Macaca fascicularis: one gene and its partner. The protein of the gene in region 1 binds, or shares a complex with, the protein of each later gene. Links are inferred from orthologs where the notes say so. Each region holds a gene or a part of one and is shown on either strand. Other genes may lie near its edges.

Region 1 (5,287 bases):
GCAACCTCAAATTCCTGGGCTCAAGCGATCCTCCCACCTCAGCCTCCTGAGTACTTGGAACTACAGGCCCATGCCACCACACCCAGCTAATTTTTTATTTTTTTTTGTAGAGACGAGGGCTTGCCATGTTCCCTAGTCTGGGGCCAAGCGATCCTCCCACCTTGGCCTCCCAAAGTGCTGGGATTACAGACATGAGCCACTGTGCCTGGCCATGATTCTATTTTTTTAAGATTTTTGTATTTTAAAATATTTTTTCTTATTATAATAGTAATGTGCACTAATTACATTTCAGGAATGAAAATGTAAGTATAGCAGAAAGTGAAAATTCCCCATTATCCCCTATCTCCCAACTTGTAATTGTTTAAATGACCCTCCAGGCTTTTCTTTATGCTTATAAAAATGTTATATACTATATAGTTTTAAAAAATAAAAATTGAGTTATACTATGTTACAAAAGCTTAATGTATCATATTTTAATTATTGCATAATTTTTCATCATAGTACATTGAGTTCTCTGTTGGTGAATATTTAGTTTTGCTAACAATTAGTGCTGCAGCGAACACCTTTGTACATATATTCGTTGACTCTTATTTCTAGGATTTTTTTTCTTTCTTTTGAAAATAGTATTAGAGATTCAGGGGGTACAATTAGGATTATTTTCTTAGGGTAAATTCCCACAAGTAGAATTCCTAAGTCAATGGATGCCAGTAGTTTCGATACGCTTTCCAAAATGGTTGTAAAAATTTCTTCTCCCTCTGGCAGTGTAAGATACCACAATTCCCCACAAGTTTGCTAGCACTGGGTATTTCCAGCCTCTTACTCTTTGCAAATCAGATAAATAAGAAAAAAAAAATCTAATTTCAATTTGTGTTTTAAAATTATTAGTGAAATTGAGATCTTGTAATATATTTATAGGCTATTGCTTCTGAGCCTTTTGGCTTAGATAATATGTAATATATTCATAGGCTACTTGTATTCTTGCCAGTTTCCTTTTAGTATCCTTTGTCCACTTTTTAGTTTTCAATATTAAAAAAAAATTGATGTAAGAGTCTTTCTGTGTTATGGATATTGATCCTGGGTGTGTCCTATGTGCTGCATTCCCCTCTCCTCAGCATACTCTTGGTTGATGGTCATGGATTTTTATTCCGCATTCAAAAGTTTTACATTTTTGTAGTTAATTCATTAGTCTTTTCCTGCAGTTCTGGCCTTAGTATTACATTGAGAAAGAAAAGCCTTTTTAAACAAAGATTTTTAAAGTTTCTCCTGTATTTTCTTCTATTACTTCTATGGTTTTACTTTTTTCTACTTAATTTTTTAATGTTTCAGAAAATTTTGTTAAGGCTATGAGGTATGTAGCATTTTAATTTAATTTTTTTCATGAATGATTAAACTTTCCCAACACCACTTACTAATTCATCCTTTCCTGCCTTATTTGAAATGCCACTTATGTTAATATCCTATATGAGTTCCAGAATGTTCAAATTATTGTTTTACATTTTTATTCTCCAGTGACAACTACCCTTCAGTAGTCTTTATTATTTTTTTCCTGTTCTTACATGTTCTTCTTTCCTTTCAATTAAAACAAAATTCTCATGGGTTTTTAATTAGAACTACCTTGAAGTGACAGAATAATTTGGGAGAATTGCTGAACCTTTCTGCTTGGAATCATAGAATGTTTCTTTTTCTCTTACCTATTATGCTCTTCAGTAACATTTTGTAACTTTCTTTGTATAGGTATTACACATATTAAATTTATTTTACATACTCATTTGTGTTAATCATCATATGTTACTGATTCTGAAATGCACACTGTTCCCATAATTTAACATCTCTGAAATTGGTATGTGTCTTGTAAGTGATGGACAAGAAAGCATGATGTCACAATTTGGCAGCATTTTGTTCTTTCTTAGTTATATATAAAAAGATGTATCTCATAATTAATAGGTATCTTAAGTTCTATGAAATATGATAGTAATTTAAGAATCTCTGAAACTTTTTTTTTTAAATTTTAAATCAGGTAGCCTTCCAAGTCAGAGTAGGCTCAGAGACTCCCTGAAACTGTCTTTACATGGTTATAAACATTTGAAATAATTTTTTCCTTTCTAATCAAGTAAACAATAAATGAAAATATTGTTCCTTTCTAATAGTAATTCCACTGTTTAACGTAAGATATGATGTGTTTTAATTACAGGACACTTATCTCCTACTGAAACAGATGGTGACATGCTTGGGTATGATTTATATAGCAGTGCCCTAGCAGATATTCTCAGTGAGCCGACCATGCAGCCACCTATTTGTGTGGGGTTATATGCACAGTGGGGAAGTGGGAAATCTTTCTTACTCAAGAAACTAGAAGGTAAAGAGCTTGCTTATACAAAGTCTGTATATGTAAAACAAGGTTTTCTCTGGGGATTTTTCTGAAATAAAGAGGAAGACCGCTTTCTGTATGAGCATGTGTGTTACACGGTTTACTGAGATGAACTCCCCTCTGGTTGGTCCTTCACATGGTCATTTGAGTTCTCTTTCTAAAGCAGATCCAGTTGTGTGATAAACCTACATAAAAACCCTTGCTGGCAGGTTTTTTTGGGCCCTTCACAGACTTGTCAGTTTGCATGGTCCCACCTGCCAGTACCACCTCTGGCATGTGCCCCAGCTTCAGTCACAGAGGACTGTTTGCTCTTGCAAGAACAGACCAGACGTGTTTCCCAGGTTGCTCCCTCTATAAGCAGCTTCTTAGCTGGCCTCACTACCACCCACCTAACACGTATGCCTTTTGCTTGGCAAAATCTTGCTCGTTCTTCAAGGATAGGTTTCAGTATTACCTGTAAAAATTTCCCAGAGTTTTGTACAAAGAATAACTTGTATGGGGCTCCTTTGGGCTCAACATGTACCTTTAAGCACAGTATTCTCAATTGTGATTGGAGGGAGAAGGGATGAGGACGATCACAGTGGAATGGTGGTGACATGTAGTTTGAAGATATAGAGTATTATTTTTGCATGTGGAAACAATATGCATATGCGTAATGTTTGTGTTAATGCAAACCACAAAAAAATCTCAAGAAAATGACAGGTGGGAGTATATGAGAAGGGATTTCGTACATCCTCCACGTGAAGCAGGAGAGGGTGGTGATCCAGGCCTAGCTGTGGTCCTGGGGGTGAGATGTTCATCTTGGCAAGAGAACACTGGTTAAAATGGTTAAGTAGCAGTATTCTATCTAGGGACCTAGTAAAGTGCCCAATAAATGTTTACATTGAAAATGTGAAAACTGCAAATCGTGTTAAAAGTTGTGTTTCTTAAAACAGGAATAAGGTTTCATACTAAATTATCTTTCAGATGAAATGAAAACCTTCGCCGGACAACAGATTGAGCCTCTCTTTCAGTTCTCGTGGCTCATAGTGTTTCTTACCCTGCTACTTTGTGGAGGGCTTGGTTTATTGTTTGCCTTCACGGTCCATCCGAATCTTGGAATAGCAGTGTCATTGAGCTTCTTGGCTCTCTTATATATATTCTTTAGTAAGTTTTTGCTTTTTATCTTTTTCAAAAATGGAGAAAATGTTAAGATTCATAGATAAAGAAAAAAACATTATCTGTCTTTGAAAACCTGTATGTGATTTTCACTAATAGGGTGAGAAAATTGACCTTTTTGCTACTTCATAAATTTTCCTAAAGAAACATTACTCACAACTTGGCGGAAGTAGCTTATAAACTAATTCCTACTTGTTAATCTTGAAGTAAGACCCTAGATTATTATACTTACTTTAATTAATGATTTATATTTAAATCTTTTTTCTGAAAAGAGGGCTTCTGAGCCATCACGGTGTGCTCTTGAGCATTTTGACCATGGCTGTACTTTTAATTTTATCTAAAAGCAAAGTAAAAAAATATAATCCCTATTCTTGGGGGTGTCTTCAGTTGCAAGAAAAGAAATAGATTTACTGTAAGAGGAACTGATAACCAACTTTACCAGTTGCAAATAGTGATAAATCCAAAGTCATTTGCATTAGAATCTGAACTGCAGTTATGTTTCTGTTTAAGGCATATTTTAGTCAGTTTACTTTTCATTTTTTGTATCTACTGTATCTTAGGGGAGGTTAATGGAATTCTTTGAGGAGTAGTTAGGAAATAGTATGGGACCATAGAAAGCTATGTAAGCTTAGCTGTCATTGCTTGATATTTGATCTTTGGAGAAAAGATCTGCTTGACTGATGACTGCTTTGGATAACTTTTTTAAACTGTGAATTTCAGTTGTCATTTACTTTGGTGGACGAAGAGAAGGAGAGAGTTGGAATTGGGCCTGGGTCCTCAGCACTAGATTGGCAAGACATATTGGATATTTGGAACTCCTCCTTAAATTGATGTTTGTGAATCCACCTGAGTTGCCAGAGCAGACTACTAAAGCTTTACCTGTGAGGTGAGTTGTTCCATTTGACAGAAGAAATCTTCAGTGAGATTCAGAAAAAAATATTTTTCACTTCAAAAAATTTATAGGGGCCGGGCGCGGTGACTCACCCTTGCAATCCCAGCACTTTGGGAGGCCGAGGTGGGCAGATCACCTGAGGTCAGGAGTTCGAGACCAGCCTGCCCAACATGGTGAAACCCCATCTCTACTAAAAATACAAAACTAGAGGGGGCATCATGGTGCATTCCTGTAATCCCAGCTACTTGGAAGGATGAAGCAGGAGAATCGCTTGAACCAGGGAGGCAGAGGTTGCAGTGAGCCAGGATCATGCCATTGCACTCCAGCCTGGGTGACAAGAACGAAACTCTGTCTCAAAAAAAAAGTTTATAGAGTATAATTTCTCAATGTATGTTCCAGAAAACATTGGTACCTGGAACCTTTTACATACAAAAATAAAAACATGCCCTGGTCAAATACTGTGGGAAACACTTCAGATTATGTGTCCCTCTTGTACGTTAAAGGATCAGAGGCACCTTTCCATAAAGAAAGCTGTTTAACCTTTATTTACCAAATTTTATTTGAGCATAAACCTTTTCTCCCTGTTATGTCACCTGTTACTGTCCTTTGGAACACACTTTGAAGAGAGCACTGGATGGAGGAAGGGTCCAGCCAATGGCCTTGGTTCCCAGAGAGCTCCTGGTTGGAGACCTGGCCCCTCCTTATGTGTGCATTTAACCTGGGGAAACCCAGCTCCCCTCTCTGAGCTGTGCTTTTCTCAGCTCAGGAAATATATTCACATGTCTATCTAAAATTATTATTCATACTAAGTAGGAAATGTATGAGAAAACAGAAAAGATGAAAAATGTTTAAGTCCAGGAATAAAGGAA
Region 2 (6,022 bases), on another chromosome or scaffold:
CTGTTAAGTTCTGTCCTCTTCATATATCAAACATAATTAAACCATTAAAAAACACAGAATTTTAGAGCTGGATGAGTCCTTAAATAATATGGGGTTGTGAGCTTAGAAACCAAGTCCAATTCTCTAACATTAAAGAAACTTAAGATGTGTCTTAGCTGAAAGAACAAATGATTTCATCAGGATCACACAGTGTGACCTGACTCTCAATGCTTACACATGCTCAAGAGACATACACATATTCCTAAACAAGTGGCTCAACCCCTCTGAACCTTAGTTTCCTTGCCTGGAAAAACAAGGTAGATAATCTTTAAATTCCCTTTAGCTCCAAAATCCTGTAATTTAGAAACCTTGTTATTTTATTACAAAACAAAGGGTACACTGAAAAGAATTATTCATGGATCCCGAGAAACCAAAGAAACACAAGGCCCTAGGGAAAGTCAGCAGCCTAAGGTACCAAATACATTTGCGTCTTCTGCTAATATTCTGCAAAATATTAACATGGTCATATTAGTCTATTTGGTTGAAACCAGGCTCAGTTAATTTTGATAAATCAATTGCAGAGCTTTAAAATATATAGTCACTAATTCTAAATTTTAAAAAAGCTCTTACAAAGATCTACCAGTGTTCTATTTTATATGCCAAGATTTATACTCAAACAGATTACTGGAAACAGGAATAGTCTCAGTTTGTTTGTGTTTATTCTTTGGAAAAATTACTTACAAATGGATCGAATAGATTTTCTTTATATGGCTTCTCCATGTTGGTCTATTATTTTATGCTTTATTATTCTGCCTATGAAGACTGAATCTATGAACACCACAACTTACTTTTCAATTAAAAAATATAATAATTTTCAGGATATTGATGGGTTATTACCATTAACAATTTTATCAATTCAAGGAATAAAAACCATTAAAAGTTAAATCAAAAACATGACCTAGAATGAACCTTGAAAAGCTCTGGCCCTATATACTTACTTTATGGAAGAACGAGCCCGGGAAAGGCAAAAAAGATTGTCCCCAGGTCTCATGGCTAACATATACAAACACTAGTATTTATTGTATTACCATATATACATATTATATATAATTAAATATGATTATAGATGTAAAACAAAATTTTCAGATTCTAATTCTCTGTTTATTTCAAGTAATATTTAATATAGCAAAATGACACAAAAACCAAAGAAGCTGAACAGTTCATATTGATTCACAACACTAGAAAGCACCCTAGGCTAGAAACCAAGGGTAAAACACCAAAATTTCACCATCAGTGCTTGAAAAACAAACCCCAGCATCTGTTCTACTGATAGTGTTTTAAGAGCATCATCCTCATATGAGAAACTACAGTTTAATTCACTGTGAAAAGGTCCTTTTTCCTCTAGCAAATTTTTATGGATGTCCTTTTTCCCCAAAGTTTTAAACTGCTAAAATTCCTGAACTCTAAAGACTCTCGTTTACATCTGTCTATTACTTTTAAAGGAATAGCACCAACTCTTCGGAAACAACATACAAAACGGAGATTCCAACCCTACAAAATATTCGTTGATTTCAACTTACAAAGAAAAGTGCGCCTTATTTAATTTTGCCTACCAAACGATGAGTTTATCTAGGACAGAAGCCATATAGTAGGAACTCTGCAGAATCAAATTTCAATTATCCGGAATAAATGAATTTTTCAAAACATAATTTATAACTGGCCTGAGAAAGATAATTCAGACACAACATAATCTCAGGAACTCTGCCCCTCTGTGACCAACCTACAGTAAACATTTAGGAACAGTATCCAAGTGACTATGTGAACGAGGAGCCCAAGAATCACTGCGGTTCCTCCAGCCACAAAAGTGACATTACAAATTAAGAGGGTTGCATTTTCAAACTAAATCGTATGCTTCTCCTTCCAGCTTCAGATATTGCAAATTAATACAATTCTATGAAATAGTTAAGTGTTGAAATACCTAAAACGAATCATGGCATACATCCAGCCACTATTACTTCAGCCCAAAGCATTCCATGCTATATAACAAATATAGATGTGCTTCAGCATGCTCCTGTCCTGTGCCTCTATGAAGAACTGGCAGTGGTGCTGAAAATCACTACTAGAAAGATGAAAGACCAATACCCTTCTTTCAATAAAAACCATCACTTGGACTCTAGCCAAGGTTTTAAAACTGAATGTTATTAGAAACAATAAATCAACTCTGCGGGCTGAAATGGTAGTCCCTTATTTCATTCATTCTTACAAAGCATGGGCACAAAACACTGTAAGAAATTAAGTGACAATAAAGCATTAATAATTCCAGGCCTTTCACTTCCAGCAATAATCAAATACTCTAGGTTGCAAGTGAATTTATTTCACAATATTCAAGATTCTGTTTAACCTACCTGCATCTCTTTCTCTGTCTTCTTCAATTACTACAACGGCTATATGAATAAATACACTCACTGCTATTGCCCAAACATCCCATCACTAAGCTTATATAAAAATCAAATGGAGAACTAAAATAGTTTAATTCATAAAATCTAGCTAGGTTATGTGTGTTCATATTGATTTTATATTCTTTGTTCCTGCACACAAAATAGATGTGAATTCCTGGAGGTTACAGATAAGTCGGTCTTTCTCTATTCAGCTACTGAGAATTGCCAGCTACTGGGAATAACCTACCGCAATGCTTAAAGCCTCTTAGGTATCTTGTCTTCTGAACATATAAATGGGTTCATTATCTTTATTTTTCCCTGTATTAAGGCAAGATTCCTTATTATCTAACCTTCCAGGAGTGTTAGCACAGAAATTGGGAGGGAATGGGGAGCACGATTCCCGTAATACACAGGTAAGGTATATTGTTTACAATATACTAATTATTTCCCCAGCTAGCAAAAACTTAGCAGAAAATATAAAAATGTAAATAATTCTCTTCACTCCTTCCTCTTCTCTCCATTCCAAAACAAGAGGCAAAAACAAAGATTTTACTACTCTGTAGACTTCATGCAATCAGTAAAGAGTCTTATTATCAAAGCAGAATAGTTGATTACAACGCGTTTACAAAAACTATAACCACTGCCTATGTGATACACACTTAAGTCAAGTTTCAACCCCGTTACAAAGCCTTTGTCAACAGTGGGCAAGAGGGAAAAAGCCGAAGGGCTCTGTGGAATGAAGGAAATCACTGGAGGGGTTTCTCTTGGAAGAGAAGGATTCCTTGGTGAGAGGTGGAAAGAAACAAGACCTAACCTTGGCGAGGGGGCGCTCGCCCAGGGTGAGGACGAGAGGTCAGGGCGAGTAGGGAGAAGGGGATTAGCGCGGAACCGGTGCGACCCGGGGCTGCCCTCGCACCGTGACTCCCCCACCTGCAGCTCACCCTCCCACCGTTCCCCGGCCCCGGCCCGGGGAGCGCCTTTCCTCCCGGCCCTCCGCCTGCATATCCGTTACCCCGGCGGCAGCGGGGCTGCGGGGGAGGGGAAGGACAGCGGATCCGGGAGGCGGCCGGCCGCGGCGGGGATGCCGCAGTGGCTCCCCGCGGCAGCGGGTCAAAGTCTGCCCGGGCACAGGGAGGCAGCCGAAGCGGAAGGCGGCGGTGGACGTCAGGACTGGTGAGATGGTGGCCCCTCCGAGCCCTCCCACACCCCAGCCGCTGCCGGTACCTCATACTGGATGTATTGCTTCCTCCACTCGGGAGTGATGTGCGCGGAGAGGTGCTCGGCGAACTTCATCCTGCCGTTTCCCCCTCACTCCCACTCGGGTCCAGCAGCTACAGGCGGCGGCGGCGGCGGCGGCGGCAACAGCGACTCCGACTCCTCCCCACATGGGCCCCGGCGCGGCGCGGCGCTGCGCTTCTCTCCTCCTCCGCCGCCGCCGAGGTCTCTTCAGAGCCGCCCGCCCGCCATCTTCCTCCTCCTCTCCATAGCCCCGCCCCTCCCCGCCCTCTAGACGTCATCGCCATGGTAACCGCCTACACCGCCCTGACGAAGGGGGTGCTGTAAGGGGTGGGGCTTAGATACGTTTCTTAAGACTCCGCCCCTTGTGGGCCGTACGTGCTGGAGGCACCTCCCCGGACCTCTTCAGTCTGGCTCCTGTTGGCCTACAGCTGCTCTGTACCTCCAGTCTGGGAAGCAGCAGTGTTGTTATTGCAATTAATATTAATACTGTAGCAACAATAATCCACACAAGACGTTTATATTTACAAAGAACTGTGCAAATATTTTTCCATTTTGATATTTATTCTTCATAAAACCCTTAAGAAATGGATCAGCACTAATCCAAACTAAGAAGCTGAAACAGATAGTTCAGAACTAAATGTATTTAAAGGAACAGTATTTTACATACTCTAGGTGCTCAATAAATGCTCACTGAATTTAATTAAAGACATCGATGACAAAAAGTGTTTGCTATTTCTGAATTTCAATGTAGTTGTCTAGTCCCGGGGCTATCAGAAAGGCCAATAAAAACACCAAGTGCGGGTACCAACTGCACTTGTAAAACTGAGCTTCCTGGGGTTGGGGGTGAGGGTTGGCAGGGAAACCAATGTTGAGAGGAAAGACAACCCCCTAGAAGTACAGCTCTAAGCCCACCCCAGTAAAACCAGAAACAGGCCCAGCATCCAGGCTGAGCTGTCCCTGGGGAACTTGGGCAGAGATCACTCACAGAGCTCTGTACTACATTAAATGTGGGAGTGACAGTCTTGGAAGTCCCGATTCAAGACAGAAATCCAGGTCCTGCCCTGGGTGGAAGAGACCTAATAATAATTTATTGAGCACTCACTGTTCCTGTACCAAGTACCATTCTAAACCTCTTACATGTACTTTGTCCCTTAGTTCTAACAGTTGTTTCTTTTTTTTAGTCTCGTTTTGTTGCCCAGGCTGGAGTGCAGTCACACCATCATGGCTCACTGCAGCCTTGACCTCACAAACTTAAGCAATCATCCCACCTCAGCCCCCTGAATAGCTGGGAATACAGGTGCATGCCACCATGCCCAACTAATTTTTTGTTTAGTTTTGGGAGAGATGAGGTTCTTGCTATGTTGCCCGGCTGGTCTTGAGCTCCTGAGCTAAAACAGTCCTCCCACCCAGGCCTCCTAAAGTGCTGGAATTACAGGCATGAGCCACCTTGCTCAGCCTAACCCTCACAATTTCGATGAGACTTCAAGATTTACTAAGGAACTACTATGCCTGGAGCAGTATTCTGAGATACCATTCTCTGCTGTCTTTTTTTTTTCTCCATGTACTTTCCCCCTTTCCCTTCCCCTTTATTCATGCCAATAGGGATTCTGCAATCACTTCCCAGGACAGGGATGACACAAGATGGAAAATAGGCATAGACTATGAGTCTTTCTGGCTTTTTCTGTATAAAAGCCTTAACCTCTGGTGAAAAGGTAATCAAGGTCAAAAAAATAAAGGAAGAAGAGTGAGGACTCCTCTCACCTCAGACCTCCCTCTGCTCACCATCAAGATTCCCCTCTGCTGGAGGTAAACCTTGCCAGGAGAAAGAAACAAGCAAAAAGGAATGTCTGTGCTACCAGGAAGAAGGCGAGACCACAGAAAGGAAATGGCTGTATGTTGCGCCTGGGAAAAGGGAACCAGGGACAGCTACAAAAGAGATTCCTGCCTTTAGCCAGTCATGGACTAGAATGGGAAATTCCTAGTAGCAACCCTGGTGGACCATGGCACACTGCTCCCAGCAGCACCATACCTCCATGCCTTAATTGTGCACAAAATTCTGGAACCATGGCCCAACCCAAGAAAGTAAGGAAACCCTCAAAACTCACTCTAAAATTCTTGATTTTTCTCATGCCTGATCCAGAGCCCTGCCACCTAGGACATGACAATCTTAATTCATCCACAGAAGAAGATTTAATAATAAATTTCCTGCCAGGCGCAGTGACTCACACCTGTAATCCCAGCACTTTGAGAGGCTGAGGCGGGAGGATCACCTGAGGTCAGGAGTTCAAGACCAGCCTGCCCAACATGGTGAAACCCCATCTCTACTAAAAATACAAAAATTAGCCGGATATGGCGGTGCACACCTG

The links.
Region 2: the proteins of KIDINS220 (region 1) and XPR1 are in contact, whole or in part, in a cryo-EM structure (PDB 9JXQ), measured with the Homo sapiens proteins. The link is inferred for Macaca fascicularis from reciprocal best matches to the Homo sapiens genes KIDINS220 and XPR1. Residues at the interface, in NP_065789.1 of Homo sapiens: Glu36, Cys37, Gln39, Asp70, Trp72, Met102, Trp105, Trp110, Tyr113, Lys114, Val138, Ile142, Trp143, Gly146, Arg147, Ser166, Asp167, Lys168, Tyr169, Gly170, Trp176, Arg179, Lys180, Gln198, Glu199, Gly200, Ala201, Ser203, Lys234, Arg267; in NP_004727.2 of Homo sapiens: Leu95, Lys189, Lys190, Gln193, Glu197, Ala200, Asn204, Glu205, Ala636, Asp637, Asp638, Leu641, Leu642, Gln644, Met645, Met646, Asp647, Gln648, Asp649, Asp650, Val652, Arg653, Asn654, Arg655.

The regions. Positions count from the first base shown.
Region 1 is NC_088387.1:113,305,672-113,310,958, forward strand, and holds part of KIDINS220 (kinase D-interacting substrate of 220 kDa), read left to right. Parts: intron 1-2,191; coding exon 2,192-2,356; intron 2,357-3,334; coding exon 3,335-3,514; intron 3,515-4,246; coding exon 4,247-4,412; intron 4,413-5,287. UniProt on the Homo sapiens protein: Promotes a prolonged MAP-kinase signaling by neurotrophins through activation of a Rap1-dependent mechanism. Provides a docking site for the CRKL-C3G complex, resulting in Rap1-dependent sustained ERK activation.
Region 2 is NC_088375.1:38,121,941-38,127,962, reverse strand, and holds the start of XPR1 (solute carrier family 53 member 1), read right to left. Parts: upstream 3,909-6,022; 5' UTR 3,711-3,908; coding exon 3,642-3,710; intron 1-3,641. UniProt on the Homo sapiens protein: Inorganic ion transporter that mediates phosphate ion export across plasma membrane.